Cricetulus griseus: one gene and its partners. The protein of the gene in region 3 interacts with the protein of the main gene of each other region in a biochemical or structural test. Links are inferred from orthologs where the notes say so. Each region holds a gene or a part of one and is shown on either strand. Other genes may lie near its edges. The genes, in order: Hnrnpa1, Fus, Prmt1, Habp4, Btg2, Fbl and Khdrbs1.

Region 1 (4,564 bases), on a different chromosome or scaffold from region 3:
TGAATGATGGGGAGAAGCACATGGTGACTGGAAACAAGCAAACAAACAAAAGAACCAAATGTGTCCATTTTTTTTATTAAGCCTTTCATTATTCCATTAATGGCAATCACCCCTCAAATATCAGACATACAAACAGGCCTCTACCCCACTGTGTCAATAGAAGCAATACACTTCGACCTGTAGCTCTCGAAAACTTTTTCTGTGGCCATAGAAATACAGATGTGTCCCTGGACACCGGTGGTAGAGGTAAGTCTATTTTTCTCGGAAGCTTTCCATTACAATACTTATGTAGCCATTTCAACCTAAAACTTTAATTAAATGTTTTCCTTTAAGAATTTTCAAAAACTAAAGCCTCCCTCCCTAAGTTCTTCAAAATATCAAGTGAAGGGATCTAAAAGAGCAAGAAAAATGCCAAACTAGAGGGGAACAAGAAAACATGCTTTCGTTAAGGTGATGTAGGGAATGATTGCCTCCACTATAGGAGTCATTGTAGATAAAATATGCACCCCTACAATTCCCTCTGAAGGCAAGATGCCTCTCTTTCAAGGAATCTCTCCATTTACTTGATCCAGGTTTGGTCCATGGATTTAACCTCCCGACTCCCGCGCTCCCCACTGGAGTCCAGCCTCTGCCGCTTGGAGAAGGCCGGCCTATCGCGCGCTTGGAGCTCATTGGCTCTGAGAGACGCCACTCGGGCGGGAAAAGCCCGCCTCCCGCATTCGGATGGCCCAAGGGCCGATCCGTAGGCAGCTATAGGAAGACCCAATTGGCCTATACACTCGTCAGTCAAACGCTCTGGTAGCGCAGCCCAAAAGGACCTGGCAGAATTAAAACATCCCGCCCCCGTTCTCCCATTGGCTGGCCCGACCCATCGCGGCCCCTTCACTGTCGCTCCCCCAAGTCCAGCGGGGCCCATTCATTTCGTACAATAACGAGTCCAATTGGAGCGGGTCCAGGAACTCCCACGGTTAGTCAAGACTCTGCCACTTACCCGGGATCTACAGTGACCACTCACACTAAGGCCTGCGCGGTTCCTCTGTGGTAAAGCTGCACCACAAGCCACCCGCTACCGCCGCCTTCTGCGCAACGCCAGCCGCCCGCCAAAACGGATCCTTTCCCTGCGCCTGCGCAACCAATCCTGGGCCCAGACCTTTTCTCCGCCCAAAACGCCTGCGCAAAGCAGGACGCAGCTCCCGCCAGTACGCAGGCGCCTTAGGTTCACCGCCCTCTCCCGCCCGCCGCCCGCCATTTCACGTGTTCAGTAGGCGAGCGGAACTCCTTAGTGCGCCGGCGTAAACTCGCCATTTTTATTACACATGCGCTCTCCGGGCAGTGGCTGCAAAAGTGGTAGCGAACTACTTTTCCTAACGTGTCGTGTTTTGCCAAGTGAGGTTATAATGTTCGGACGCTGGGAAGTTATGCAAGGCGTTTAAAGACATGGGTACATTCAAATATAAACCACTGGTTAGCTAGTCAATCAACCTGGTTAAAAAAAAAATCCCCCAGAGCGTCGATGACTCCGAAGGGCGGAGACTGCGTAGAACGCCCCAGCAGATGCCATCTCTTAGCAGGGCGGATCCACAGACCTAGAGTGGGCGGGAACAATTCCAGATCTCCAATCAGAGTAAGGCCAGGGCGGAGTCTACCAATGCCGAAAGCGAGGAGGCGGGATAAAAAGGCGAGCCGAAGGTAGGCTGGCGGATACGTTCGTTGACTTACTCCTTTCTGCCTGTTGACGCGGCGGAGGAAGCATCGCTGAAGGCTCTCGTTTCCCTGCCGTCATGTCTAAGTCGGAGGTGAGTTGTGCGCGCTCTGCGGCTTCGTTTCCTTCCATACGCAATGAACAGGACGGGATGCGACCTATTTTTCTGGCTGGCACCCATGCTTTCGGTGTTTGATCGGTCGTTGCCGAGGCCTGCTCACAAAGTGCAGGTCGCCATTTTGTCCTCGTAGTCGCCATGAGGCTGCCGTCCGCTAACCGCTAGTTTCCACACTCGGCTCCTAGTGGCAGAATTCACAGATATGCGACCTTGGGGGTTGTGGCTCTTTTTATTTTCTTTCTTGGCTTTGCCTAACTAACGTCTGCTAAGGCTTCAGTAAGTTTTAATGGCGATTGACCAGTCCAGCCCGTGTCTTTTGTTGCGCGTGCGTATAGAGTAGGGACGCATGCGCTGCATGCTAGTCCTCCCCCCCACGCCCCAACAGCACCTCCTGGCCCAGAGAGGAGCACGTGGTCTTGTGCTGTAATAAAGAACAATAAAAAAGTGCGGCCTATGTTGATGCGTGGAGTTGATCCATTCGCTCAAGTTCCAGCCCCTTAGCTAACGGCTCTCCTTTGATCCGATTCAGTCACCCAAGGAGCCGGAACAGCTGCGGAAGCTCTTCATTGGAGGGCTGAGCTTCGAAACAACCGACGAGAGTCTGAGAAGCCATTTTGAGCAATGGGGAACACTCACCGACTGTGTGGTAAGATTAGAAGGAACAAAAGGCGGGGCTGGTTTAATTTTATTGCTTTAATCATGCCGCACTTCTTACCCAGATGCTTTGTGAAGGTAATTAATGGTATAATTTTAAAAGGATCTTTGTTTGGGGGCCTTATGCTTGAGTCTAAATGGAGTTTTATGCTGGACATGTTCAGAGTTGGAATGGCCTCAGGTCCTGATATCAGGCAATATGTTGATTGAATTAACTCTATAAACAGGTAATGAGAGATCCAAATACGAAGCGATCCAGGGGCTTTGGTTTTGTCACGTACGCTACTGTGGAAGAAGTAGATGCCGCTATGAATGCAAGGCCACACAAGGTGGATGGCAGAGTTGTGGAACCTAAGAGAGCTGTTTCAAGAGAAGTGAGTGTTATTATGCTAATAGTTGGGTTCTCTTTTATCTAGACGCCAGATAGACCCCTAGAGTGCTGGGATTAAAGGCGTGGGCCACCACAGCTGCCAATCATTTGAAATGTACTAATAATGACTGCATCATTTTCCTTTTAGGATTCTCAAAGACCAGGGGCCCACTTAACTGTGAAAAAGATCTTTGTTGGTGGTATTAAAGAGGACACTGAAGAACATCACCTTCGTGATTATTTTGAGCAGTATGGGAAGATTGAAGTGATTGAAATCATGACGGACAGAGGCAGTGGGAAAAAAAGAGGGTTTGCTTTTGTCACCTTTGATGACCATGACTCTGTGGACAAGATTGTTAGTAAGTGTCAGATAATTAGATTTCTCTCCTCCTCCTCCCTCCCCCACAAACTGGGAATATTCTGTAGCTTTGGGTCCTTTCCTGGAAATGAGACCCGCCCTCAAACTCAGATGGCCTGTCTCTGCCTCCTGAATGCTGGGATTTATGGGGTGTTCCACCCCCCAGCCAGATTACATTTTTCTTTTGGGTGGATTCGAGACAGGGTTTCTCTGGCTTTAAAGGCTGTCCTGGAACTAGCTCATGTAGACCAGGCTGGTCTGAAGCTCAGAGATCTGCCTGCCTCTGCCTCCTGAGTGCTGGGATTAAAGGCGTGGGCCACCAACACCCATCGTGCTCAGATTTCTTAATGACTGGGACTCAGTGTGTTTAAAGCCCTAAAGTTAACTTTTTTTTTTTAAGTTCAGAAATACCATACTGTGAATGGCCACAACTGTGAAGTGAGAAAAGCCCTGTCAAAGCAAGAGATGGCCAGTGCTTCATCCAGCCAAAGAGGTATCTCTTGCTTAGTTAGAACTTGCAGAGGGTAGTTGGGTTGTTGCTGCAAGTTGGTCTAATGTAATGATCCAAACATCTCTTAAGGTCGAAGTGGTTCCGGAAACTTTGGTGGTGGTCGTGGAGGTGGTTTTGGCGGCAATGACAACTTTGGTCGAGGGGGAAACTTCAGTGGTCGAGGTGTGTACCTTTTGGATTTCTTAATTGCTTTTGGAACGATGGATAACTGCTAGTCTTTGTTTATAGCATTTAGATTTTACCCAAAACATAAGTTTTCGTTACACAGAGATTAGCATTTGCTTCATTCATATACCTAAAGCTCTGGTTTCTTACAGGTGGCTTCGGTGGTAGCCGTGGTGGTGGTGGATATGGTGGCAGTGGGGATGGCTATAATGGATTTGGTAATGACGGTAAGTTTCTTAAGGAATCCGTAAGTAAAATTTCTAGCAACCTATACCTTTAGACTAGGCTAGTAGACACTAAACCTAGTGCATGACAAAATCAACCAGCCCCGTAATACGCATGCTGTGAGCAGGCCATTAGTCATTACACTTGCATAGATTTTTATTGTTAAATACTTTTGTCTTATTGAGAAGGCTTGTATTCTTGTAGGTGGTTATGGAGGAGGCGGCCCTGGTTACTCTGGAGGAAGCAGAGGCTATGGAAGTGGTGGACAGGGTTATGGAAACCAGGGCAGTGGCTATGGCGGGAGTGGCAGCTATGACAGCTATAACAACGGAGGAGGCGGAGGCGGCTTTGGCGGTGGTAGTGGTAGGTATCCAGTGATGCAAGTACTTGGTGTGATAGCTAGATTAGCCTTAGTTTATACTCCTGTGGACTTTAAAGCTCTTAAAGCATTGTGGGTACAC
Region 2 (3,765 bases), on a different chromosome or scaffold from region 3:
CATGATTACTGGCATGGGGAACCTGGATTTGGGATAGATAGAGTAACATGCCAGGTGGTTGGTAGCACACACCTTTAATCCCAGCACTCCAGGCAGGGGCAGATGAATCTGAGTTTGAGGCCATCCTAGTCTACAGAGTGATTTCCAGGGTAGCCAGGCTACACAGAGAAACCTTGTCTTGAGAAACCAAAATGAAAAGCCGGGGAGGGGTTGTGTGGGTGTGTGGAGAGATGGCCCAGCAGCAGTTAAGAACACTGGCTCCACTTCCAGAGGATCTGTGTTCATTTTCCAGCACCTACATGGCTTATAACTGTAACTCCAATCAAGGGATCTGATGCCCTCATCTGGACTCTGAGGGCACCAGGCAGGCAAAACATCCCAGCATTTGGGGAGCAGAAACAGGCTAATCTGAGGTGGAGGCCAACCTGAGCTACATAGACCTTGTTTAAAAGAAAACAGAAAACAAAAAAAAAAAAAAACAGCAAAAATGGTAGTCAACATCAAAGCACCAATTAAAGACATTTTTGTTTTGAGACAAAGTCTTATGTTGGGCAGGCTGGCCAGATACATGTGTATTTGGGGATGGCCTTGAACTGTTAGAATCAAAGGTATAGTTGGTTTATATGGTACTGAAGATGAAACCCAGAGCTTGTGTATACTAAGCAAGCACTCTGTCAGCTAAGCTACATCCCCAGCTCACTCCTCCTCTGCTTGAAACAGTTCTACATTGTAGGCATGAAACACTGGATTTGGTGAGTTTCAAAATTTACAGAGGAGTTTTTGTTTTTGTTTTCAAAACAGGATTTCTCTGTGTAGTCTTGACTGTCCTTGAACTCGATCTCCCTGCCTCTGTATCCTGAGTTCTGGGATTAAAGGCGAGTGCCATTACTGCCTGGCTCTACAGAAGTTTTTTTTTTTTTTAAACTAGGCAGTCATTATGATTTCTGTATTTTTTATTTATTTTGTGTGAGTTCAGGCATGCTTGTTTACGTGTTGCATATGTATAGGTCAAAGGACAGCTTTCTAGGGTTAACTTTTATGATAGTTCTGGTTCTGGTGATTGAACCCAGGTTGATAAGACTTTCACAGCGCAGGGCGGTGGTGGCACACGCCTTTAATCCCAAAACTTGGGAGGCAGAGGCAGGTGGATTTCTGTGAGTTCGAGGCCAGCCTGGTCTACCAAGCGAGTTCCAAGACAGGCTCTAAAACAATACAGAGAAACCCTGTCGGTTTAAAAAAAAATGATAGTTTCATTAAGATGCCAAGATTGGCCATAAACTAACCTTGCTGCCCCAGTCTCCTGGTAGCTGGCCTTTGTCAGTAAATTGCTTACTAGCTGACCTACTTTTTAAGTAATGGGTGAGTGCTGGGAGGTATATAATGTTTTAAGTTATTCCTTGCCGCATGCCGCCTTATGTTGACCTGGAACTGGATATGTAGACCAGTTTGGCATCAATCAGGGGAGATAATCTGCCTCTGTCTCCCAAATGCTGGGATTAAAGAGTACAACTATACCTGGCTTTTTTTTTTTTTTTTTTAATCTTTTTGGTTTTTTCGAGACAGGGTTTCTCTGTAGCTGTGAAACCTGTCCTGGCACTCTCTCTGTAGACCAGGCTGACCAACAGAGATCCGCCTGCTTTTGCCTCCCAAGTGCTGGGATTAAAGGTGTGTGCCACCAATGCCCAGCTTTTTTTTTCCTTTATAGCATTTGTAACCCTGTTTTCTTTGTAGCAGGCTATGGCACTCAGTCAGCTCCCCAGGGATATGGTTCCACTGGAGGCTATGGCAGCAGCCAAAGTTCCCAATCTTCTTATGGGCAACAGTCCTCCTACCCTGGCTATGGCCAACAGCCAGCTCCTAGCAGCACCTCAGGAAGGTAAGGTAGTATGGGTGTGAATAAGGCCAGAAAATGGTGGTGAATTGTTTGATCTCTGAGGAGTAAAGAAAGGGAATGGACTAAAAGTGAAGCAAGTGTTTGGCTGTTTTGCAGCATAATTCTGGTTTTCTTTGTTTTCCACTTAGTTATGGTGGCAGTTCTCAGAGCAGCAGCTATGGACAGCCCCAGAGTGGAGGCTATGGCCAACAGTCTGGCTATGGTGGACAGCAGCAAAGCTATGGACAACAACAAAGCTCCTACAACCCACCTCAGGGTTATGGACAACAGAACCAATACAACAGCAGCAGTGGAGGTGGTGGAGGGGGTGGTGGAGGTGAGAAAGTGTCTTCAGTTTTGCCTCCTTACTCTATGAATTTGCCCCTTTTCTTGTTTACTAAGTTTCTAATTTTTATCATTGACCATTTATTTCCATACTTCCTATCCTCTCACTTGTTGCTGACAATTGAAACAGAAGTTTGTATATGCTAAGTAGTGCTAAGCTTTTTTTAAAGCATTATTACTAACTTTTTTTTTTTTTTTTAAAAGGCAACTATGGCCAAGATCAGTCCTCCATGAGTGGTGGCGGCGGCGGTGGCTATGGCAATCAGGACCAGAGTGGTGGCGGCGGTGGTGGCTACGGGGGAGGCCAGCAGGACCGTGGGGGCCGTGGCAGGGGCGGTGGAGGTGGTTACAACCGAAGCAGTGGTGGCTATGAACCCAGAGGCCGTGGAGGTGGCAGAGGAGGCAGAGGCGGCATGGGGTAGGTGTTTCGTGAGTCAGGGAGTACCTTCTGTGGGGGAGTGATGCATGGATCTCCCTTGAAGTCAGTCCCTAGTGCATGGTTAGTATTGTTTTCTGGGGATATGTAAGGGCTTCAATTTGTGGGCAGTAGTGTTTCTTTGTATATTCCTATTATGTTTTTGTGAGAATTTGGGAGCCAAAATCCCATTTACAGCTCTTGAGTAGAGATTTGAGTATTGGTTCATTTATTTCTAAAGAAAAAGAATATACATAGATACATGTGGATTGTCATTGTTATCTCAGGCAAAAAAAAACTTGGGAGTAAAGACTTCTCTGCAAGGGAAACCTATTAATCCCATTCCTGGGAAATATTAGGGGAAACTTGTCCTGTGTATTCCCATGTGTCCTCCAGGGGAGTTGGTAATAATGGTAAACTTGACCTCAGCTTCTAGGAATTGGCTATTTACTCATCCATATTCTGTAGTTACTTGAATCCGTGAGCCTGATTTGCACTAATTTGACTGATTTTGTGTGTGACTTGGTTCATTTATGGGGTCTTCTGACTGAAGTGTGCAAACTTTTGGGGCAAAATAGACTTGACAGTGGTACTCTGCTTTCTTATTCCACTGTCCATCTTTTCTCGGTCAGTTAAAATGAGCTTGTCCAACTGGATCTCTCCTTGTTAAAGTAAAACCTTAGATTTGATGTTAAAACAGTTTGTCAAATCTCTTGGTGACTTTGAAGGACCCTGTTACTTCCCTTGAATGGGGAAAAAAATGTCAGTCATATGTTCCTTTTTTTGGAAAATAGTAGGTTTTTTTTTGAGTTTGTACGTGGTAAGTATTCAGAGGTGGGTGGGGGAAGTCTCAAGAAACATGGAAAAGTGGAAAAAACTAGTTGTGTGCGTGTGTTTAATGCAAAACTTTAAAAAGAAAAGCAACTGTTATGTGACTGTTAACTTGCTCTGCATTTTATGTGCCACAGGTATGAAAGGTGACATTGCAAAATACTCCGCTCTTCTCACAGTGTAGAAGGGGTGACCCCGGGGGTAAAGGGTGATCAAAAACAGCTCAGTAGTTAGGGCTTAGCTGAGTTTGTCTTGCTCTAAGGGAAAATTGCCTTTGGTTATGACTTTTTATGGAATGGGG
Region 3 (4,443 bases):
AATGCCCTATAGTCACTAGCTGTAGATAAAATCTCTTGTCCTGAAAGAAAACCAAGTTCGATCCCTTGTACCATGAGAAATGGCATGGAAGCATAAAGGTGGCAAGAGCCGCAGGTAACTAGGGTGGAACTGTAAAGCGGGAATGGAGGTAGTTTAAGGATTGAGACATTGTCCTGGGGGTGCAGGGAGGCCCAAAAAGGCCATAGGCAGAGATGAGCTGCAGGGATTGGCAGGTGGGAGCACTAGGGCTGAAGGCCTTGGGGATTGACAAAACTGACGGAGGGAATTGGAGGGAAAAGCCCAGAGGCTATTGATATTTGGGATGAAGTAGCAGGATAGGCAGGAGTCAATCAAGAAATCATACTGAACCAGGCAATGGTAGCGCACACTTTTAATCTCAGCGCTTGGGAGGCAGAGACAGGAGGATCTCCGAGTTCCAGGACAGCCAGAGAAATTCTGTCTCGAAAAAACAAAAAGAAAAATCATACTGGCTGGAAGAAGTTTACACAAGCCTTAAATCCCAGCACTTTGGAGACAAAGGCAGGCTGTACCATGAGACTCTGCCTCACACCAGATACCTTACGTGTGCAGCAGATGGTGCAGTGCTTGCCGCTCAAGACTTGACACACGCACGCACACGCACACTAAACAGTGTTAGGAGTCGGAAGGAAGAAGGTCATCTGAGCACGAGGAGGCCTGGAGTGGAGAGGCACATTTGGGAACTTAAAGGACCCTGTGCTTGGGCCGAGTACTGGTGGGACAAAAGGTAAGAGGCAGGGGCACAAACCCAGCAATTGGCATCCATCTTCAGGCCAGGAGTAACTTTCTGCAGATCCAGGGAAACTTCCTGGAGGAGATGGAGTCCAAATTGCCGCGTGGGAGTTGGCCAAACAAAGGGAGATGGGTGTTTCATGCAAAGGACTAGGAGGCCACAGGTCTTCAGAACTCGGCACAGTCCAGTACAAGGTTATGGCTCATCGCACTGACATTCACTACGACTCCTGACAAGTTTCAGGACCCCTGATGAGAACGCCTCCACATCTACTCACAGCGACTCGGCATTTTCCCCTAGCTCGCCCACGCGCCCCAGTTCCGGAGAAGCCACCGAACGTTGATGACTGATGTTCCTGGGAGCCAATCGCTTCCGCCCAAAGCCCCGCCTACCTCCTTGTGGGCCAATGGTCCCTGTCGTTCTTGGCCAGTCTCTCGAAGGGACTGGAACAAGAGCCCTGCAACGTCACGTTTTGCTCAGCTAATTGCGGCGACGGAGAGGCGGGCCATCTTAATGATCCACAGCAGAGTCTCTCGACATCCGCTTAGCGCGGAGCCCGCCGGGAAGCTTCAAGGCGGAGCTGGCCGGAAGGAGGCGGGAAGACCTGGTGGGATATCCTCCAATCATCACATGCGCTGCCTAAGATAGACAGACAGTTGTTCCCTTCCTAGCCGACAGGAGGGGGTGGTCCTTTGAACGCTAGGAGGGGAGGGCGCCCGAATTTTGATAGACGTGCTCAGCGCCCAATTGCAGTGCGAGGCGGTTAGATTGACGGCTGCGCCAGCCATTGGAAACTTATGGCGGGGTCTCGGGGGCCGGGCGGTGGACCCTCTGGTAAAAGGCGGTCCCCGGCCGGGGGGAGAGAGAAGAAAGGGGGGGGTCTCGGAGGCCGGAGGACTCGGGTGAAGATGGCGGCAGCCGAGGCCGCGAACTGCATCATGGAGGTGAGTAGCTGGGCTCTTTAGGCCAGTGGGTAGGGGGAGGACGACGGGTTACCCACGGCCTGAACTGTGGAGACGGGGCCTTGGGTGTGCTGGGCCTCGCGGAGGTCCGCATCGGGGGATGTGTTCAATCGTGACCGGGGCGACCCCAGCTTATGGGACTCTCGGACCCCGCAGTCGAGTCGAGGGCCGTCGCACGTGGTCGCGGGCCGGGGGCGCGTCCAGCCGGGCCGCACGTGGTCGCGCAGCGTAGCGTGGGGAGGGGGGTGTGCCACTCGAGGGGCCCCGCGGGTTCCACGTGCGGGACAAAGGCCCCGCCCCCGGCCCGGTGACCTGGGCTGCACTCCGGGGGTCCTGGGGGGTGCCACCTGCGTCCTGCTGTCCGCTGGGTGGTGGACATCCGTGCACCCTCGTGGGGCCTGACCTCACTTTCCTCCACTCTGAGTTACCCCTGTGCGGTTGGGGGGGGATGGGCAGAGCCCTGTGACCTCTCTGTTAGAGGATGGTGGGGCATCTCCACCGAGGAGATCCGGATCCGGCGCCGGGCACCCCCTCGTGGTCATTATGGGCTTGTGAAAGGGGCTCTTTTTCATGGGGCGTGGCCCAAAGCCCACCCCCTCATGGAAGCGCCCTCGGGTGGATGGTCAGAGGTCGGTCTTGGGGCTGGATGGCTATGTAGGCACGCAGACCAAGGGGCCTTGACCCCCACCCGACCCCTTTTTTAGGATTCTCACCTTTGCCTAATTTCCCCCCCAAAACAGAATCAAATTCTAGCACCTGGCTTATTTGCTTACAGTTGAGTGTTTCCACCCCTGAGCTGTATTCCTCAGTCCACTTTTTACTAACTTTGATGCAAAGTGGGTCTGGCCTTGAACTCACCCTGTAGCCCAGGCTGGCCTTGAACTTGCCATCTTTGCTTAAGCCTTCCGGGTAGCTCTCGTGAAAGACTTCACTACTAGGCCTGTAAATCAGATCCTCTCCTAGTCTCAGGTTTCAAACCCTCTTCAGGAAGCCGTGTGGTGGTGCATGCCTTTAATCCCAGGACTCGGGAGGCAGAGACAGGCGGATCTTTGTGTGTTCAAGGCCCATTAGAACAAGTTCCAGGACAGGCTTCAAAGCTACACAGAGAAACCCTGTCTCAAAAAAAAAAAAAAAAAAAAAAGCCAGAAACAGAACAAACCCTCTTCAGTCAGTTGTTAACCTGCTGGTATCTGTACTACTGAAAAAGAGAGGCCCACATGGGAACTCCCCCCACTGGCTACCCGACCCCTGAGGTGGTAGATCGTGGCCTCTCTGGCCTTAGATAGCAGTCATCTATCTAATGGGATAATGATGGGATATAATCTGGTGGTACCCATACCTCTTCAAGTTCTCTGGAGAGGAAGGTCAGTTGCTGGGACACCTGCCATGGGGATCAGTTCGCCTACAGTGTCACTGAAGTGACCCTGGGCCTGGCACTTGTGGACAAAGGAAAAAGAGGGCAGTTTTCAGTGTGGGGACCAAGGTGGGGTGTGAAAGGGGGGGCTTTCGTAAGCTCACACGTGGCGGTGGGGCTCAGGCGGATTTTGGCAGAAATATTTATCGTAACAGCTTGCCCCAGCTTTCCAAGGCATATTTTGTACTCCTGGGGGGCAGCCCTCTTCCGGGGGCAGGTAAAACAAAGAGCCTTGCTCTGTGTGTTCCTTGCCCGGGTGGAGCTGGGGTGGTGTACTCACTGTGGTGTGGGGGTATGCCACATTTCTCTATTGGAATGATCTTTGGCCAGGAGACAGGATTGTGATGGGGCAGACAGGTGCCCAGCACCCATTACCTGTCAGCCCCCTCCGGTTTATTCATGGCACTTCAGCCTGGTGTGTCTGTCAGGAAATGTCACCTAATCTAGGGGGGATTAGGTAGTGAAGGGGAGCAACAGCTGAAAGTGCCCATGTGCCTTGGCAGGTATTGGGCCCTCTGGCCTAGATAGGGTAGGTATGTGTGGCCAGTTATCTGACCAGAGAGGGACAACATGGGGCGGGCCACCATCTCTTCAGCCAACAGCTGGGACAGGAGACCCCACCTTCCTTTCCCTCCCCACTTGTATCCCTTCCTTACACAACTGCAGCCACACTGCTTGCTCCTGCTTACACCACTCCCATGCCCAGGAAAAGCCAACCTGCAAAACACTCACTGCCCCAAAGGCCTTCCCCAGCCACCCCAGTAGCTAACCCTTTTTCCCTGTTACTCTCTCCTAGAATTTTGTAGCCACCTTGGCTAATGGGATGAGCCTCCAGCCGCCTCTTGAAGAAGTAAATATCCTTTTGTGAGACCCCCCCAGCCCACTTGCATATAAGCATACTTTGATATGCACCTGGCTCCTCAGGAGGTCTATTCATCCTCTTGCTTCAAACCAGTTTCCCCTGCTGTGGCCCCTAAACACATAGGACAGACCCCTTCCTGGCCCAAGCTGGCTCCCCCAGAACCATGGCTGCTTCCTTAACTCCATCTCCAGCCCTCCTCCTCTGGCTTTCAATGTGTCTGCCCTGGCTCTGCCCTCCCTTCCCTCCCTCCCCAGCTGTGGGCTGAGCTAGAGACGGGCATAGAGCCTGGAGAGATGGTAGGCGAGGCGGCTGCTCCCTGGATGGTGCTCTGGGTGGGTTCTGAAGTGGATACCGTCCCTTGGGAAGAAAGATGCCGGAGGGGGCTGTAGGGCTGTCCCATTCTGAAGAGGGGCCTTCTTGCAGGTTGAGGAAC
Region 4 (3,765 bases), on a different chromosome or scaffold from region 3:
ATGCATGTTCTCATTTCAGGTATCAAATTTCTGGGTCATATAAACTGTGTCAGAAAAAAAATTTTTTTTTGAGAGAAGATCTCTCGATGTAGTCTGTCTTGGAACTTGCTATGTATCCCCAGCTGTCCTGGAACTCACTTTGTAGACCAGGCTAGCCTCAAACTCACAGATATCCACCTGCCCCTGCCTCCGGAGTGCTGGGATTAAAGGCGTGTGCCACCATACCAGATTCTAATATTTTGAAGACCCACCAGACTGTTTCCTAAATTGACACATCACATTCCCCCAGCAATATACCTGGGCTCTAATTTTTGACATCCTTGTTAATACCTGTTAGCCTCTAAAGACACCTTTTTTCCTTTTGTTCTTCCTAAAACAGAATTTTTATATGTATGAGTGCTTCACCTGCATGTATGTATACATGTATGTATATGTACCACATGAGTGCCTGGAGCCCATGGGGTCCAAAAAGGAGCATTGGATCCCCTTGAATTAAGCCATAGCTGGTTGTTGTAAGCCACCAAATGGTTGCTAAGAGCCAAACCCAGGTTTTCTACAAGAGCCGGAAGTGCTCTTAACTGATGAACCATTTCTCCAGCCTAAGTGCCTTTTTGATACTAGCTGTCCTATTGGATGTGGACTGGTGTAACTCCTTGTGGTTTGAGCCACCTTTCTCTGATGACTAATGATACTGAACATTTGAAAAGTTTTTTGTTTGTTTGTTTGTGTTGCGATAAATCTTTCTGCCAAAAGCTGCCTGAGCCCCACTGCCATGTGTGAGCTTTATGTCAGCCGCCCACCAAAGTTAGGCCCAAATGAATACACAGAAACTTGTATTAGGTACAAAGCTGCTTGGCCAATGACTAGGATTCTCATCTGTTAGCTCAGTCTTAATTATCATAAATCTATATATGTTGTAAGACTTATCTTATCAGATGCCTTATTGGCGTCCCTCCTTGCCGGTGGCTCACATCCTGCCGCTGGAGGAGGCGAACGGGAAAAAGGGATGCTTCCTGTTTCTCCTTCGCTTAAATATGAGTCTCCTTGCTATGTCACTTCCTGCCTGGATCACCACTTCTCTACTACATTTCCCAGAATCCTCTTTGATTCCTAGTCCCATCTAACTTTGCTGTCTCATTGGCCAAACAGTATTTTATTCAACAATCAATAAGATAAACATACACAGTACATACCCCATCATGTTTGTTTGTTTTTGTGTATGTGCATGCAGTTCTTTTGGAAGCCAGAAGAGGGTACAAGATCCCCTGGAACTGGTGCTGTAGGTGCTGAGGATTTGGACTTAGGTCCTTGTGCTTGCAGAACAAGCCATCTGCTTGCCTGCTTCAAACATTTAAAACTGGGTTTTAAACATCTGGCTTTAAACATTTGAAACGTTTAGCTAGGATGGGGATAGAACACTTGCTTAACACATGTGAGCCCCTGAGCATTTGGAATGCTCCACTTAGAGCATTCCAAAAAGTCTACACTAAAAACCTCACTCAAAACTGAGTCATAGAAGAGAGTAAAAAAAACATGAACAATTTTCAACAGATTGTGATGAAATTTTCAGGAAAATATGGAAATATATAATGAGGTTTGGAGCATGGTCTTGGAGGGAGTCTGAAATAATATCCATTTGCTTTTAGAACCAACTGTAGGGGATATTTTTGTGACCCATTGTTTTAAGACTTCTGTCCATCTACCTTCAGGAAAGGTGCATGATGGTATAATTAATGGAAATGTCATGGGGCGATGACATCATTTTCATCTGTCTTCAGTTTTCAATGAAGGACAGGATGGTAAAGCTAAAACTCAGAAGATGTGACTCTGAGGGCTTGGGCTACTTTTAACCCTATTTACATTTCCGATGCAATACTACAAAAGTATAACTTTTTTTTCCATAGACATTTGGTCCCATTGGCCAAAAAAATTTGTTTTAATGTGCCATTACAGAGCTCCTGAGTTGGAGGTAGAAGAGGAAAATCAAGTCCATGAGATGACCTTAGATGAGTGGAAAAACCTTCAAGAGCAAACCAGACCAAAGCCTGAGTTCAACATCCGGAAGCCGGAGTCCACAGTTCCTTCCAAGGCAGTGGTGATTCACAAGTCCAGATACAGAGACGATGTAAGACTTCTGTATTGTTGACCTCATTGGGCACAAAACAGACCTCTCTCAGGGATGTGAAAACAGAACCTTGCTACTTCCCTCAAAAAAAAACCAAACATTTATTTTGTGTTGGGGTGTGCATGTGGAGGCCTGAGGAGAACTTGTGGTTCTCAGGAATAAAACTGAAGTCATCAGCCAGGCGGTGGTGGCGCATGCCTTTAATCCCAGCACTCGGGAGGCAGAGGCAGGTGGATCTCTGTGAGTTCGAGACCATCCTGGTCTACAAGAGCTAGTTCCAGGACAGATTCCAAAGCCACAGAGAAACCCAGTCTCGAAAAAACAAAACAAAAAAAAACCAAAAAACTGAAGTCATCAGGCGTTAGTGCCCACTTAGCCATCTTGCTAGCCTTCCACTTAGCGTTCTTGTTGTTTCTGCTCAAGCATCATGGAAAGGAACAGAACTTGGTGCCTTGACAATACTGAAGACACAGGTGCAGAGGGTTCTGCTCACCTTGGTCTCTTTATGAGAGAGGCTCAGCAGCTGTTTCAAAGGTCACTGACTGTATTTTGATGATTAGATTGCCATCCTCTCAGGTTCTTTTGTTTTAGACAGAGTCTTTTGTATGTAACCTGGCTCTCCATCCTCCTGCTTCTGTGCCCTGAAGGCCAGGATTAGAGGTATGGACTACCATGATCCTTATCTTTCACTCTCATTCATAATGAGTATTCCATTGGGTCAGTAGATCCCTTGAAACAATACCTGGGAACCTACATTCTGTGATCCCCTTGTTACTGTATTCCAGAAATTGCTGAGAATTTCCTAGATTGCTCATGGCATAGTCTGAGGGCATTATTCAGGTCTTGTGTGTTGCACAGGCCTTATTCTTCATGCTCTCTCTCTCTCTCTCTCTCTCTCTCTCTCTCTCTCTCTCTCTGTGTGTGTGTGTGTGTGTGTGTGTGTGTGTGTGTATGTATGCACACTTGCTCATGTACGTATCACTCCACTATACATAGCTGTATCTCCCCAACCCAGCATGGGGGTTTTTACCAGATGCCTGGACAGAGATGACCAGGGAAATATCAGTGGGTAATGACAAGGCTGATCACTTCATTCTTCTTTAGTTAGTGAACTTACAAGGAACACTGAAGTGTCAGGTGTAGAATTCAGGATTCCTGTTGTTCAAGTCACAGCACGAAACAGTGCAGATTGTGGTGATGAGCAAAATCATATTCCCTGCTGAATATGATTTGTTGACTGCCAGTCAAAGTTCAGAACACCGTAATTTTGTCTGTGTTTCATGCGCATTTTGGTCAGTTATATTTTCTGAGTACTTTATTTAGAATGCTGTTGGTGACACATTATGTCCACTCAGCCTCCTGTTTTGGTCAACTCATGGTCTAAAACACTTTACTAATAAGTTTTGAGATATTCGACCAAAGACAGTTTTTATAGACATGAGAGGCCAGAGCTAGCAGCAGCATGTAGGTAGCATGTCTTTTTGTTGTTATTCTTTTCTGTTGTGAACATTAGGAATAAAGCTTCCTGAGAAACCACTGTGCTGTAAGGCTGGGAAACAGGTAAAGATAGAAGCCAATTCCTCAAATCACATAAAATTCATCTTCCCTGGCAGCAGAGATCTGTTGATGCAACTAGTTTG
Region 5 (4,427 bases), on a different chromosome or scaffold from region 3:
TTTACTGAGAGAGACAACCTCCCCCATAGGTGCTCTGAGCACCAAGGAGATAAAGCTGTGCCCAAAGTGTGGCTCTTAGTGGCAGCCCTACACAAAACCAGCTAGTGCACAGGCACTCTCTCTGCAGCCTAGAAAGATCTCTGCAAGACCCACCGGCCAGCCAGAACCCACCAGGGCGCCAGGAGGGGCTAGGAGGCCCAGTCTCAGAATTTCCTGGGACTATTGCACAGTGATTGAGAACTCCTGTCCTAGGAAATGGGGCCCTCCAGGACCCAATCACATGAAAGAGGGGAGCGGGGAACAGGAGTCTTGAGGAGAAGGCAGTAAGAAAGGACCCGGAGTTCCCTGGAGCTTTGAGCCACCTCTCAAAGGAATAATGGTAGCAGCATTCGGACTTTCATGTGGTTCCCAAAAGCAGGGTTTAGGAAAAGGGAGGGAGAGAACCATCCCTCTTTGGGTCCCAAAATTCCATTGCAAATCACCCCTAAATTATTTGCCATCCATCCATACAAAGCAGTGCAGCACAGAGCAGAGCAAAGGTTTTGTGTGGTTCCCTCCATCTATACCCAAGTCTTTGCACACCTGCCTTACATCCCACCCTCCAAATATGTTCATATAGATTCCTGGCTGGGAAACAGCCTTTCCAGGTCCCCAAGGGTAGACTCAGGAATGAGACAAGATTTCAAGAGAACCTGCTCAGAACAGAAGGAACAGGAGAGGTCGTTCACTCTACCCAGGGTCTCAGCAGAAACACAAAAGAAGATTAGGCAATGTAGTATTATTTAAGACCAGGCTTGAATGCCCCTGAGTAAGAGAGGAACCAGGCATCCAGGCATCCAGGCATCCAGGCATCCCAGGAAAGATCCTGACCCCTCTCATTCACAGTTGCTAACCTTCCTTGCTCCCTTTTACCACCTCCTGGGGGATCAGCCAAGAATCCCCCTTTACCTTGGCTAGGCCAATCCCCAAACCACTCCTCTAGGCAAACACTGGCTCACAAATTCAATAACAGTTCTTTCCAAAGGCACCTGGGGAGGCCACTTCCAAGCAGCTCCCTTTAAGGATTTTTTTTTCTTTAAAAAAAAAAATCTTTTGGTTTTTTTTTCTCCTCTTTTCTTAAAAAAAAATAACATGTATAAATAGCTCTTCATTTAAAAATACAGTTCCCCAGGTTGAGGTATACGGTGGCCTGTTGTCACGGCAGCATGAGTACAGTAGAGTGCCCGGGTAGGGTGGCTCCTATTTAGCTGGAGACAGCCATCACATAGTTCTTCGAGGGGCTGCTCCTGCCCAGCATCATTTGGTTCTTGCAAGTGAGGAGCCCATAGGAGGCAGCGACCGGGGCCTCCTCGTACAGGACACAGATGGAACCGTCCTCACCGATTCGGTAGGACACTTCATAGGGATCAACCCACAGGGTCAGCTCACTGGGCAGCAGCCGATGTAGCTGGGGCTGGCTGAGTCCAATCTGGCTGGCCACCTTGCTAATGATGGGGTCCATCTTGTGGTTGATGCGGATGCAGCGATAGCCAGAGCCTTTGGATGGTTTCTCTGGAAACCAGTGGTGTTTGTAATGATCTGTGGAGGAAGGACAAGAGGGAGATGCTTTGGTTAGAAAAGTATTGTCTCTGATGTTTACCACAAGGGGAGGATGAGAGTAGAGGGCCGGGAAAAGAGGAAGGGCTCAGTGACAGTATTTCAGAGCCTCTCCTTAAACTCCCCCTGCCACTTAGAAAGATCCCTGGGCCTTTTCCAAGGACATGTACATTGGAAGGCAGCCCCAGAGCTTTCAGGTAGATGCTCTCCCGGGGGTCAGGGATATTTTTGGCACAATCCAGCTTAAGGAAGGATGGGCTAGTATGAACAGGCAGGGTCTCTGAGAACCCAGACACTGAAATTTCAAAGCCCAGTGAGCGACCAACATTGTTGGGTGTCCAGCAAGTCACCAGGCCTCCCATCCCTCCCCCACCAGAGGAATCATGAGATCTCTAGCAAAGGTAAGGGAATAAAAATGGTTTTGTTTTGATGAAACAGCTGTTGGTCCTCAGATCTGTGCCAGCATGTTGAGAGATGGCTATCGCTGCCCAAGGCAACCAACCAGCTATAACAGCTGGAGGCAGAGGCGAAAGGGCTGCTTATCACTCCTCCACCTCCCTGCCTCACACCCTGCCCTGCCTCCATAACTCGCACCCCCACCCCCACCCCCAGCAGGCTAGGCTACTGGACTCTTTTCTGTACTACAATAGGTGGCAGATGGTGAAGAGGAACCAAAAGAAATAAATACAAAGGGGGCCCAGATTACAACTTCCAGCGGGTAAACAAGCAGCAGAATGGTCCAGGACAATGGTAGGCCAAGGACTATAACAACAGTGTTTGGGACTCGAAAAGTTCAATTGCGCATAAAGTCGCATAGCTTGACCTGGCTTCGTGGCCCACAGCATCCCCCAAGGGTCTGGACTGGAGGTCTCCAAGATTCAGAGAAAGAGTTGAGTTAGGAACCTGAGCGCAGACCACTGGCTCTTTCCGTGGTGTTGTTAGGGACTCAGAATGTACTCAAGGAAGAGGGTCAGCGCCCTGGGAACGAGGCGGCGGGGACTGGAGGGCGGGGAGGCGGAGATCTAAACCAAGGGACGAAGGACAACAGGCGGCCTCGCAGATTAGAGCAAGGCATTTGAGACCAGGCGCCGCTCGCGTAGGGGTCTCCGTCCCAGAAACAGTGGGGAAAGACACCCCAGGCAAGGAGGGGCCGCTCCCCGGTGGCTTTGGGACCCCGACGTGCGCTCACCGGTCAGTGCGTCCTGGAGCGCCCTGCTGAACACCTTGAGTCTTTGCTCGCTCACGCAGCCCCGCGTCCTCAGGAGGCTGGAAAGGAAGCCGACGGCGGCGGCAATCTCCGGGAGCATGTCTGTTCTCTTCCCGTGGCTCATGCCGGGCGGCTGGGTAAGGAGCTGTAATGTCCAGACGAGGGTGGTCTGGCCGCCGCTCGGGCTCTGCCCGGACTTTCCTCCGGCTGCGCCTTTCATACCGCTCGCGGAGGCGGGGAGCCGCAGGCGGCGCCCATTGGCCGAGGCTGGCGGATGGGGGCGTGTTCTCTAGCTGCCCCGCCTCTCTTCTCCGCCGCCCCCCGCCCCCGCCCTCCCGCCTGCCTGCTCGCCCGCGCCTCCCGGGCGCTGAGGTCATCGCTCACTGACGTCAGTATTGGGAACCAGCACCGGACTCCCGAGCGGTGGAAGACGGGCGGGAGAGGGACCAGGACCTGGGCAGAGGAAGCGCGCCACACCGGGCATGCCCGGACGTCGCCTCTGCACAGTTCCAAGGCAGCGGTTGCCTGCCACCTCCTCCAGGATGTCCTCGCCGATGCTACTTCTCCCACGCCTCCCCAAAACAGACACTCTGGCGCCAGGTCATCTCTGCCACTCTCTCCCAGCTGGTCAGAACCGGCTCCTCATGTTTTCGGCAATGGGGATTGTAGTCTATTTGCTTCCATAATAATTCCACCTTACCCAACAAATTCTGCTCTTCCTCTTCAGCAATTGCCTAAAAGCAATCAGCTCTCACTGGTGTCGCAGTGGGAGGAATGTCGAGGAGAGACTTTTCTGTCCATTGGGTTATTTTTCCAGTTCTCACTTCCCTTTAAGTGGCTTTTTTTTTTTTTTTTTAAGTAGTCTGGTGTGAGCAGTACAAAGTTTTCCGTTGGCCCTCTGCTCCTCCCTCTTCACTGATTCGTCTTCCTTCCTCTTTGTGGATGAAGGCTTTTGTAAATACTATCTCCCCAGAAGAAAGGCTTTGGCTCTGGCTTCGTCTACACTTGGGGGCTCAAGGACTGGTACCAGGAAGCTAGGCAGACTATTGAATGGGCAACTTGTCACCCACACCTCTGAGCCCAGCACAGGATCTGACCTGCAATGAGACCCTGTTTGTTAAATGAACTTAGCTCCATGGCTTGTGTAAAATCCTGAGGTTGTGTGTGTGTGTGTGTGTGTGTGTGTGTGTGTGTGTGTGTGTGTGTGTGTGTTTGTTACTGAGAAGCAGCGCCCCCAGGCTTCTCTACCTGTCCCCACCAGCTTCCCTTTCTGGGTCCTTTGTGCCCTTCCCACCCTGTGTTCCCCTTCCCTTTTATTTCTGCTTCCTATCCAGAGCTCTCCCTTCTGCTATTTATTTTTCTTCAGTGAATTTCCACGTCAGTACTTCCATCTTTTTCATGCTGTCCCTCCCTGTGGATGTCTAGTGCTGCCCTCCCTGGTCTTCCTTTCAGCCAAAGCTATGATCACTACCTCTACCTCAGACCTAGTCCCAAGACTGATGCCTTCTTACCCAGTCCTGCCCCAAAAGGCCTTCCCTGGGGGAATAGAGTCCTTTTCCTAAGGACTCAGAATATGAGACAACTACTCCACTTGCTAGACTGTCTGGACTCCTTTCCCTGGCGC
Region 6 (4,248 bases), on a different chromosome or scaffold from region 3:
TGGCTCCAAAGCTATATAGAGAAACCCTGTCTCGAAAAACAAAACAAACAACAACAACAAAAAAAAGAGAATTCCCTTTAAGGCTTATTTTGTCTTTAAAAAGGAAAGAGAGTATGTTGGAGGCTAGGGTGACCCTGACAACCATCCATCCAGCCCTTCCCTGGCATTTGGCTGTCATGACTACCATCCAAGCAGCCCCCTCTTGGCATCCACCTGGCCTGTTGTCATAGCAACCTGGAAGCTCCTGGATGCTCCACAGACACCTCCTGGAAGCTACACGTCTACAACCACTTAATTCTGAAAGACAACTCCTGCTGGAGCAGGCACTATTCTAGCCCTGACTGTTGCCTATTTACACGGCTTTTTTTTTGCCATCAGAAGCCTCTGTAAACCTCAGCGGCCATTTCACCCAGGCCCAAGGGTAAACCCTTTGCCTGATAAGGCAACAAAAAGCCTGGTGTTGGTGCAAATGGGGTCTTTTCAGTAGCCCTGATGTGGCTCTTTGGGACTATTTTCCTGGAGACCAGGTGGCTCCCGTGCTGCCCCCTGGTGGTGCAACACTAACCCCGGGCCTTGTGCAAACTCCTTTGCTCCACCGATGGGATCTTTATCATAGAGGGGGCGGGATCCATGGCGCGCAGAGGGACAGACGGCAGAACCACCGGCCAAGCAGCAGTAGCCAGGACGCTGACAGCCGGGCAGTGAATTTAGAGGCAGCTGCAGCGACATTAGGGTGACTGAAGATTTCCAGAAACAGGCCAGGGGTAGGGAGCAGGGGTAGTGAGGAGCAAATGGGGGGGGGGAGAGGGGGTTGGAAACGCATATGCGCAGCCTGGAGACCCAGAGATCTTCAAGTTCCGGGCGGGCCCGGGCCTCGCTGCAAAACGAGCACACGCTGCTCTTGCAGAAGACGCAGGATCGGGTCCCACCCCCGCCTGCAACTGCAGCTCCAGGGGGGATCCGCTGCCCTCCCGCCCTCCCTCTTCTGCACAGCACGCGCGTGGTGCACAGACAACGCGGCGTGCCGCCGGAACGCCTCCGGGGCTAAAGTGTAAAAAAAAAATAATAAGCAAACCTTCGAGAAAAAAAAATAAAATAAACCACGGTTCGAGTATAACCAACCCCTGACTCTTAGAGCGAAAAAGCCGCCGCGGCGGGGCGGGCGAGGGAAGCCCGCAGAGATTGCAGAATTCCCGCCCAAGGCACGGCACTTCCGGGAGAGGGGAGCGGGGGCGGGGCCACGCGCTGCCGTCACGCGCCGCGCGTCGCCCCGCGCATGCGCTCCTCTCCACGTGCGAGCGCCGGAGACGCGTGGAGTCCGGGGACGCTGCTGATTGCGGGAGCCGCGCGGCCGGGAGGGACGCAGCGATGAAGCCAGGTAGCGGCGGCGGCGGCGGCACGGGCTGGAGCGGGGCTCCGGGCACCGCGGCGGGACGGACGGACGGAGGGAGGGAGGGAGGGCGGCCGGGGGCTGCTCGGGAGCCGGGGAGTGTGACCGCACAGACCGGCCTGCAGCCTCGCCGCTGCATCCCGGCCCTCCTGACCCCGGCTCCGGGGCGGGGCGGGGGAGAGAGGGGCACCCGGCTTGGATCGTAGGTGGGACGGCTCCGGATCGCGTGCTTCCCTCTTCCCGCTGTCACCGCTGCCCCAGGGGGGACGAGTGAGGACCTCCGGGGCGGTGCTGCGCGGCGATCGCGTGCGCGGCTCGCCCTCTCTCTCCCTCGCTCGCCCGCTGCGCTTCCGGGAGGGGCGGGGTCCTAGCCCCGGAGGAGCTGACGATCGGGGGGTCGGGAGCCCCTGCTCGGCGCCGCGAGACGCTTTGCAAGCCTGGCCTTAGCCGGCAGGGCGATCAGAAGTGAGAGCGGTTGGTGTTGGTCTGAGTTTTTTGAGACTGCGTCTCGCTAGGAGACGCTGGCTGGCCTTGGAACTCACTCTGGAGACCAGGCTGGCCTCGAACTCAGAGATCCGCCAGTGCCTCTGCCTCCCCCGATTGCTGGGATTTAAGGCGGGCGCCACCGCCGCCCGGCGGGACAAAAATGTTTCCTTTATTTCCCGCCCTTTTTCTGGTGGATGAATCCACCGCACGGTGGACGCTGGTGCGCGTTCTGGTTTTGACAGTAGGAGCGTCTCTTTTCTTTCTCTGATTTTTTTTTATTTGGTTTTTTTCCGAGATTGGGTTTCCCTGTGGCTTTGGAGGCTGTCCTGGAACTAGCTCTTGTAGACCAGGCTGGTCTCGAACGCACAGAGGTCCTCCTGCCTCTGCCTCCCGAGTGCTGAGATTAAAGTTGTGCGCACCACCAACGCCCGGCTTCTTTCTCAGATTCTTAATGCTTAAGTGGCTTTTTGTTTTGTTTTGGTAATGTGTGACTCCGGGCTGTGGCAGCCCATGCTTGTCAGTCCCGGTACTCGGGAAGCTGGGGTAGGTGGGTGAGGAGTTTGACACCAGCGTGTGCTACAGTAATGATAGCATGAGCTTTGCACCGGTGCCCAAGGATCAGTTTTCGCTAATGGCAGGTTTTTGCCTGGCGTGCGCCCACATGTTCCTGTAGACGGATGAGAGCCAGTGCAGGGTATAGTGACCCATCTTCCCCTCCCAAGCATGTTGAATAGAATTTCTGGGATCCCCCCCCCACCCCCCCCCGTTGGGGAAGTCTGGCGAAGCGAAGGAGGGTGGAGGGATTGCTGTGTGTTCTACGGCTATCCTGTGCTCTGTGATTCCCCCCACCCCGCCCCAGGAGGACTTTTCCCTCCAACCTTTCTCTACCAAATGATGGAAGAAGTTGTGTGGTGACAGTTTGTCTTGGATGACAGAACCAGCTTTGGAGGAATCCTTTTGTTGTTTTTGTTTGTTTTTTGCTTTTTTTTGTTGTTGTTTTTTGGTTCTTTGAGTTAGATGGGGTTTCTCTGTGTAACCACCCTCGATGTCCTGGAATTTGCTTTGTAGACCAGGCTGGCCTCCAACTCTCAGAGATCCTCTTGCTTCTTCTCCCCCCAGTGCTGGGATTAAAGACCTGTGCCACCATTACCAGCTGGGGGAGATTTTTTTTTCAGTTTTTTTTAATTTGAATTAGAAACAAGATTGTTTTATATGACAATCCCAGTTTCCCTTCTCCCTCCCTCCTCCCCTGCCACCCCCCCCCCACTAAAACCCTATCTATTACATATCCTTTCTGCTCCCCCTGGATGGTGAGGCCTTCCTTAGGGTGTCATCAGAGTCTATCATATCCTTTGGGATAGGGCCTAGGCCCACCCCAGTGTGTCTTGGCTCAGGGAGTGTCCCTCTATGTGGAATGGGCTCCCAAAGTCCACACGTATGCTAGGGATAAGTACTGAACTACCACAGGAGGTCCTGTAGATTTCTGAGGTCTCCCACTGAAACCCATGTTCCTGGGGTCTGGATCAGTCCCATGCTGGTTTCCCAGCTGTCAGTCTGGGGAGCAAGAGTTCGCTGGGGGAGACTTTTAAGCAGACGTGTGCTGTAGAATCTGGTGGGCATTTTTAAACAAGGCCATTTGTTGTTTTTATGTTTGTGTTTTGAACTGGGATCTTGTTGTATAGCCTAGGCTGACCTCAAACTCACCCTCCCCAAGCGGTGGGATTGCGGGCAGGTGATACCTCGCTCTGCTGGAAAGCTACTAGAGGGAAGATTGTGGGCATGCCATCTCTTTGAGTAATGGAGTCTTTTTTGTTCATTTTCCTAAAAACTCCAGGACCTGAAATAGACCAAGAGACATGTTGAGTATCTGGGGCTGAGAGGCCCCCCCCCCCCCCCCCCCCCCCCCCGGCCCACTGCTCTCCAGGAAGACACCCACAACTTGCCAGGCTCCGTTATCCTATATACTCTGTGTGCATACAAAGTCATGTGATTTTACAACAGACTCCCATGCACCTTCCCCGATAGGGTCCTGGGTGACAATGGCGTGGCCATCCTCACGACTCGCCTCCCCCACCCCTCCCCCCAATCACCAGCCTCTGGGGAGATGGCCGGACACTTGCTGATGTTTATTGAGCTTCATGTTGTCCAGGGAGCTGGGGTATTTTGGTAACCAGAATCTTACAATTCGTTGTGCATTTGGAACTTGTGAGGGCCAGCGAGAGTGCCAGAATTGAATGGCATATGACAAGAAAACAAGGCGAGGGCACAGTGGGTAGAGTCTGTACCGTTGCATCAGAAGCCCATGAGACTTGGGCCACAGGAGTACCGTGCCCCTGTTGGCAGGGTCTGCAAAGTGGGAACAGCTCATGAGA
Region 7 (3,765 bases), on a different chromosome or scaffold from region 3:
GACTTACAAGTGACTAATTTGCAGCTTTTGATAACTTAGTTATGAAATGGGAATATACACCCACAACTATTACAGAGGTTTTGTTTTTGTGATTTGATTTATTTATTATGAATACAGTATTCTGCCTGCATGTATCCCTGCAGGCCAGAAGGGGGCACCAGATCTCATTACAGATGGTTGTGAGCCACCATGTGGTTGCTGGGAATTGAACTCAGGACCTCTGGAAGAGTAGGCAGTGCTTCTAACCTCGGAGCCATCTCTCCAGTCCCCTATTAGAGAGGTTTTGTGAGGGGAAATATTTGTTAGGTATTGAATAAATGTTCAGTTCTTCTACTTCTAAATATGGAAGCTGACCCTTGTTGAAGGCTCAGGTTATTTATTACTCTTGCTTCCTAGGCTGTTCTGACTCCTTTGCATGTATGTGTGGAACCAGTTCAATGTCTTGTGTCTTTCTCAGTGCTTCTTTATCTTATTTTTTTTATTGTACTTGCTACTTGTTTAATCCCCCCCCCCCCCCAGGGTTTCTCTGTGGCTTTGGAGGCTGTCTAGAACTAGCTCTTGTAGACTAGGCTGGTCACAGAGATCCGCCTGCCTCTGCCTCCAGAGTGCTGGGATTTAAGGCATGCGCCACCACTGCCCAGCTGTTGCTACTTATTTTTTAAGATAATCTCACTGAACCTGGAGCTCACTGTTTTAGGTTGGTGGCCAGCAAGCCCAGGGATTCCCCATTCTCCTGTCTTCATATCCTCAGATCTGGGATTACAGGAACATGTCACCTCATCCAGGGGTGGGTGTGTGTGGGTGTGTGTGTGTGGGTGGTTAAATTCCTATTATCATTTTTTTTGTGCATCAAGCATAAATGACTAACACATCTCCCCAGCCCTACGTCAACTTGAAGTTTTATTGATCATTCTGTGAATTCTCTAAAATGCTTTATTTTCTTTAAAAAATTGTGGAAAAATAGGAAAAGGATTCTAAGATCCAGTAATAGTTCAGAATATATCAAAGTAATTCTGTGTCATTGGGAGGCCCTAAATTTATAGAGTATGTTACATTGCATTTAGACAAACTTTCCTACCATCAGTCCAGCTTTTGAGTCTTCTTGTCCTGGTTAAATAAGGTTTCTGCAAAGTGGCACAAGCTACAACTGAAGGGCCTAATTACATCTCAGTAGTTAAGAATGACAGAGGAGCCCTGTACTTAGGGGGGATGCAAGCAAGAGGAGCCCTGTACTTGGGGATGCAAGCAGAGCCAAGAGTTCCCATCTTAATGAAGCTGCAAATTCAGAGTACCTTTGTTCCGATTATGTCTGTGGCCTTGGTGGTTATGATGGTTTTAGGGTGTGTGTTTATCTCTAGACTTCTTGTGGTATATACTATGAACAGCATTTTTGTTTCAGTCTTCCAGTGAGTTTTTCTTTTAAATTCTTGTGTATGAGTATTTTTCCTGCATATGTGTATTTAGCCAAGGAGGCCAGAAGAGGGCATTGGATCTCCTCAAACTGGAGTTACTGGTGGTTGTGAACTGCCATGTGGGTTCTGGGAAATGAACCCGTTGGGTGCTTTAAAGAGCAGCAAGTGAGCCATCACTCCAGCCCTTCTGTTGTTTTTAAATTTTTTGTATTTTCTTGTTTTGGATATTGAGTTTGGTCTAGATAATAACTATATTATTCACATACTAAGGAATAAACTTTGATCTTGTCTTTTTTAGTTGGCTTTTTAAATTTTTCTTTTTTATTTTAGGAAAGGTCTCATTTACCTTGGCTGTCCTCAAACTTTGAAGTGATCCTCCTGGTTGGCTCCTGAGTTCGGGGACCACAGGCAGGCACAGCATACTGCATTGTCACTGTCCTTATAGGTTGATTTTGCCTGTATTATTTTTTTATTTAAAAGATTTTATTATTATGTATACAACATTCTGCTTCCATGTATATCTGCACACCAGAAGAGGGCACCAGATCTTATAACGGATGGTTGTGAGCCACCATGTGGTTGCTGGGAATTGAACTCAGGACCTCTGGAAGAGCAGTCAGCGCTCTTAACCGCTGAGCCATCTCTCCAGCCCCCAATTTTGCCTGTATTTTATAGATGAGAAAGCAAATATGCAGGGCAGTTAAGTAACTTGACAGCTATTGTGTGACAGAGAAAGAGCAGGGTCTTTCAAACAAAATAGAAAACAACTATTATTGCTATAGTGGAATGGTAATGGAGTTGTCTGTTATTATATTTAAATACTAGTTTTTGGTTTTTTTTGGGGGGGGGAGGTCGAGACAGGGTTTCTTTATTGCTTTGGAACCTGTCCTGGAACTCACTCTGTAGACCAGGCTGACCTCAAACTCACAGAGATCGCCTGCCTTTGCCTCCTGATTTCTGGGACTAAAGGCGTGCGCCACCACTGCCCGGCTAGTCTTTATTTCTTTATTGGGAAACTTCTTTCTCTTAACTGGTCAAGTGAAACTTTGGGACTGAAGAAGGAAGAAAGGTCTGTAATTTGTTGTGGTCAATTAGCTGGAAACAGCCACCGTGCCCAGACTTTATATATGTATATGTGTGTGTGTGTGGGGTATGTATTTATTTAGTTTTAGCTTTAATTTTTATTTGTGAGTGTCAGTGCTCATGCAGTCCAAAAGGCTGCTTTGGATCCTTGGATCTTTAGAGGCGGTTGAGATTCACTCTGCCATGGGTGCTAAACTCAAGATTTCTGAAGAGCAGTGTGTACCCTATTAGCTGAGGCATCTCTCCAGTTACCTCTTTCTCTCTCTCTCTCTCTCTCTCTCTCTCTCTCTCTCTCTCTCTCTCTCTCTCTTTCCTCATCTCTCTGTATTAATTTAGATAAATGCATACTCTTTTGTTTTATTTATTTATTTATGGACAGGATTTCTCTGTGTAGCCCTGGCTGTCCTGGAACTTACTTTGTAGACCATGTTGGCCTTGAACTCAGAGATCTACTTGCTTCTATCTCCTAAATTCTGGTACTCCTGGCTAATGCATGTATTCTAGTTTGTTTGTTTGTTTGGTGTTATTAGTTTTTTGAGACAGGTTTTCTCTGTGTAGCCCTGGCTATGCTGGAACTCACTCTGTAGACCAGGCTGGCCTCTAACTCACTGACCTCCTAACTGTTGGGATTAAAGGTGTGCTCCTCCACTGCCCAGCATGCGTGTGCTCTCATCAAGAAACATGTGACTGGAGGGCACAGACACTTCAGGAGAGGAGGGTGGAAAGCAGGATTCGGGTCCCCCAGTCAGTTTCATAAAGCTTTGGGTGTCTCATCCAGTCTGCCTAAAATTAGCACATTCTTCTGAACTGTTTGGTTTTTTTACACAGCACTTCATAATACTGTTTTAAGCAGTCTTGCCAGGTACCTTTATTTACAAGTACAAAAATTAAGTTCTGCTTTTCTTATTCAGAAATTGAGAAGATTCAGAAGGGTGAGTCAAAAAAAGATGACGAGGAGAATTACTTGGATTTGTTTTCTCATAAGAACATGAAGCTGAAAGAACGGGTACTGATACCTGTCAAGCAGTATCCAAAGGTAAGTGTCAAAGCGGCTCACTTGTGTGAGTTAACTTCTAGGCTGGTGATGAAGATATGGGCTCGCCATGTTATCCCACCTGTAAAGCTCCTCTGTGCTTGAAGTACCTGTTTCTGGAAGTTAAGATATCAAAGTCCATAACTAATAGCATAATTGTAGTTAACAAGGAAACAATTACTTTTAGTAATCAAAAGTAATTTCTTTTTCATATGTTTGTTCAGGCTCTAAGACCAA

The links.
Region 1: of the proteins of Prmt1 (region 3) and Hnrnpa1, one has a biochemical effect on the other in vitro, tested with the Homo sapiens proteins (3 studies listed by BioGRID, with this or other methods). The link is inferred for Cricetulus griseus from reciprocal best matches to the Homo sapiens genes PRMT1 and HNRNPA1.
Region 2: of the proteins of Prmt1 (region 3) and Fus, one has a biochemical effect on the other in vitro, tested with the Homo sapiens proteins (3 studies listed by BioGRID). The link is inferred for Cricetulus griseus from reciprocal best matches to the Homo sapiens genes PRMT1 and FUS.
Region 4: the proteins of Prmt1 (region 3) and Habp4 form a complex in vitro, tested with the Homo sapiens proteins (2 studies listed by BioGRID, with this or other methods). The link is inferred for Cricetulus griseus from reciprocal best matches to the Homo sapiens genes PRMT1 and HABP4.
Region 5: the proteins of Prmt1 (region 3) and Btg2 form a complex in vitro, tested with the Homo sapiens proteins (2 studies listed by BioGRID). The link is inferred for Cricetulus griseus from reciprocal best matches to the Homo sapiens genes PRMT1 and BTG2.
Region 6: of the proteins of Prmt1 (region 3) and Fbl, one has a biochemical effect on the other in vitro, tested with the Homo sapiens proteins (2 studies listed by BioGRID). The link is inferred for Cricetulus griseus from reciprocal best matches to the Homo sapiens genes PRMT1 and FBL.
Region 7: of the proteins of Prmt1 (region 3) and Khdrbs1, one has a biochemical effect on the other in vitro, tested with the Homo sapiens proteins (2 studies listed by BioGRID). The link is inferred for Cricetulus griseus from reciprocal best matches to the Homo sapiens genes PRMT1 and KHDRBS1.

What each region holds. Positions count from the first base shown.
Region 1 is NC_048595.1:399,611,483-399,616,046, forward strand, and holds the start of Hnrnpa1 (heterogeneous nuclear ribonucleoprotein A1), read left to right. Parts: upstream 1-1,638; 5' UTR 1,639-1,781; coding exon 1,782-1,796; intron 1,797-2,349; coding exon 2,350-2,466; intron 2,467-2,701; coding exon 2,702-2,848; intron 2,849-2,992; coding exon 2,993-3,203; intron 3,204-3,602; coding exon 3,603-3,695; intron 3,696-3,782; coding exon 3,783-3,875; intron 3,876-4,030; coding exon 4,031-4,105; intron 4,106-4,307; coding exon 4,308-4,466; intron 4,467-4,564. UniProt on the Homo sapiens protein: Involved in the packaging of pre-mRNA into hnRNP particles, transport of poly(A) mRNA from the nucleus to the cytoplasm and modulation of splice site selection.
Region 2 is NC_048596.1:72,802,851-72,806,615, reverse strand, and holds part of Fus (RNA-binding protein FUS), read left to right. Parts: intron 1-1,731; coding exon 1,732-1,876; intron 1,877-2,022; coding exon 2,023-2,210; intron 2,211-2,422; coding exon 2,423-2,636; intron 2,637-3,765. UniProt on the Homo sapiens protein: DNA/RNA-binding protein that plays a role in various cellular processes such as transcription regulation, RNA splicing, RNA transport, DNA repair and damage response. Binds to ssRNA containing the consensus sequence 5'-AGGUAA-3'.
Region 3 is NC_048599.1:153,870,404-153,874,846, reverse strand, and holds the start of Prmt1 (protein arginine N-methyltransferase 1), read left to right. Parts: upstream 1-1,609; 5' UTR 1,610-1,680; coding exon 1,681-1,716; intron 1,717-3,944; coding exon 3,945-3,998; intron 3,999-4,203; exon of another isoform or gene 4,204-4,303; coding exon of another isoform or gene 4,304-4,306; intron 4,307-4,443. UniProt on the Homo sapiens protein: Arginine methyltransferase that methylates (mono and asymmetric dimethylation) the guanidino nitrogens of arginyl residues present in proteins such as ESR1, histone H2, H3 and H4, FMR1, ILF3, HNRNPA1, HNRNPD, NFATC2IP, SUPT5H, TAF15, EWS, HABP4, SERBP1, RBM15, FOXO1, CHTOP, MAP3K5/ASK1, MICU1 and NPRL2.
Region 4 is NC_048596.1:281,798,017-281,801,781, forward strand, and holds part of Habp4 (intracellular hyaluronan-binding protein 4), read left to right. Parts: intron 1-1,953; coding exon 1,954-2,125; intron 2,126-3,765. UniProt on the Homo sapiens protein: Ribosome-binding protein that promotes ribosome hibernation, a process during which ribosomes are stabilized in an inactive state and preserved from proteasomal degradation.
Region 5 is NC_048598.1:55,128,106-55,132,532, reverse strand, and holds the start of Btg2 (protein BTG2), read right to left. Parts: upstream 3,022-4,427; 5' UTR 2,928-3,021; coding exon 2,786-2,927; intron 1,579-2,785; coding exon 1,244-1,578; 3' UTR 1-1,243. UniProt on the Homo sapiens protein: Anti-proliferative protein; the function is mediated by association with deadenylase subunits of the CCR4-NOT complex. Activates mRNA deadenylation in a CNOT6 and CNOT7-dependent manner. In vitro can inhibit deadenylase activity of CNOT7 and CNOT8.
Region 6 is NC_048602.1:7,928,096-7,932,343, reverse strand, and holds the start of Fbl (rRNA 2'-O-methyltransferase fibrillarin), read left to right. Parts: upstream 1-1,231; 5' UTR 1,232-1,368; coding exon 1,369-1,378; intron 1,379-4,248.
Region 7 is NC_048595.1:23,290,811-23,294,575, forward strand, and holds part of Khdrbs1 (KH domain-containing, RNA-binding, signal transduction-associated protein 1), read left to right. Parts: intron 1-3,406; coding exon 3,407-3,531; intron 3,532-3,765. UniProt on the Homo sapiens protein: Recruited and tyrosine phosphorylated by several receptor systems, for example the T-cell, leptin and insulin receptors. Once phosphorylated, functions as an adapter protein in signal transduction cascades by binding to SH2 and SH3 domain-containing proteins.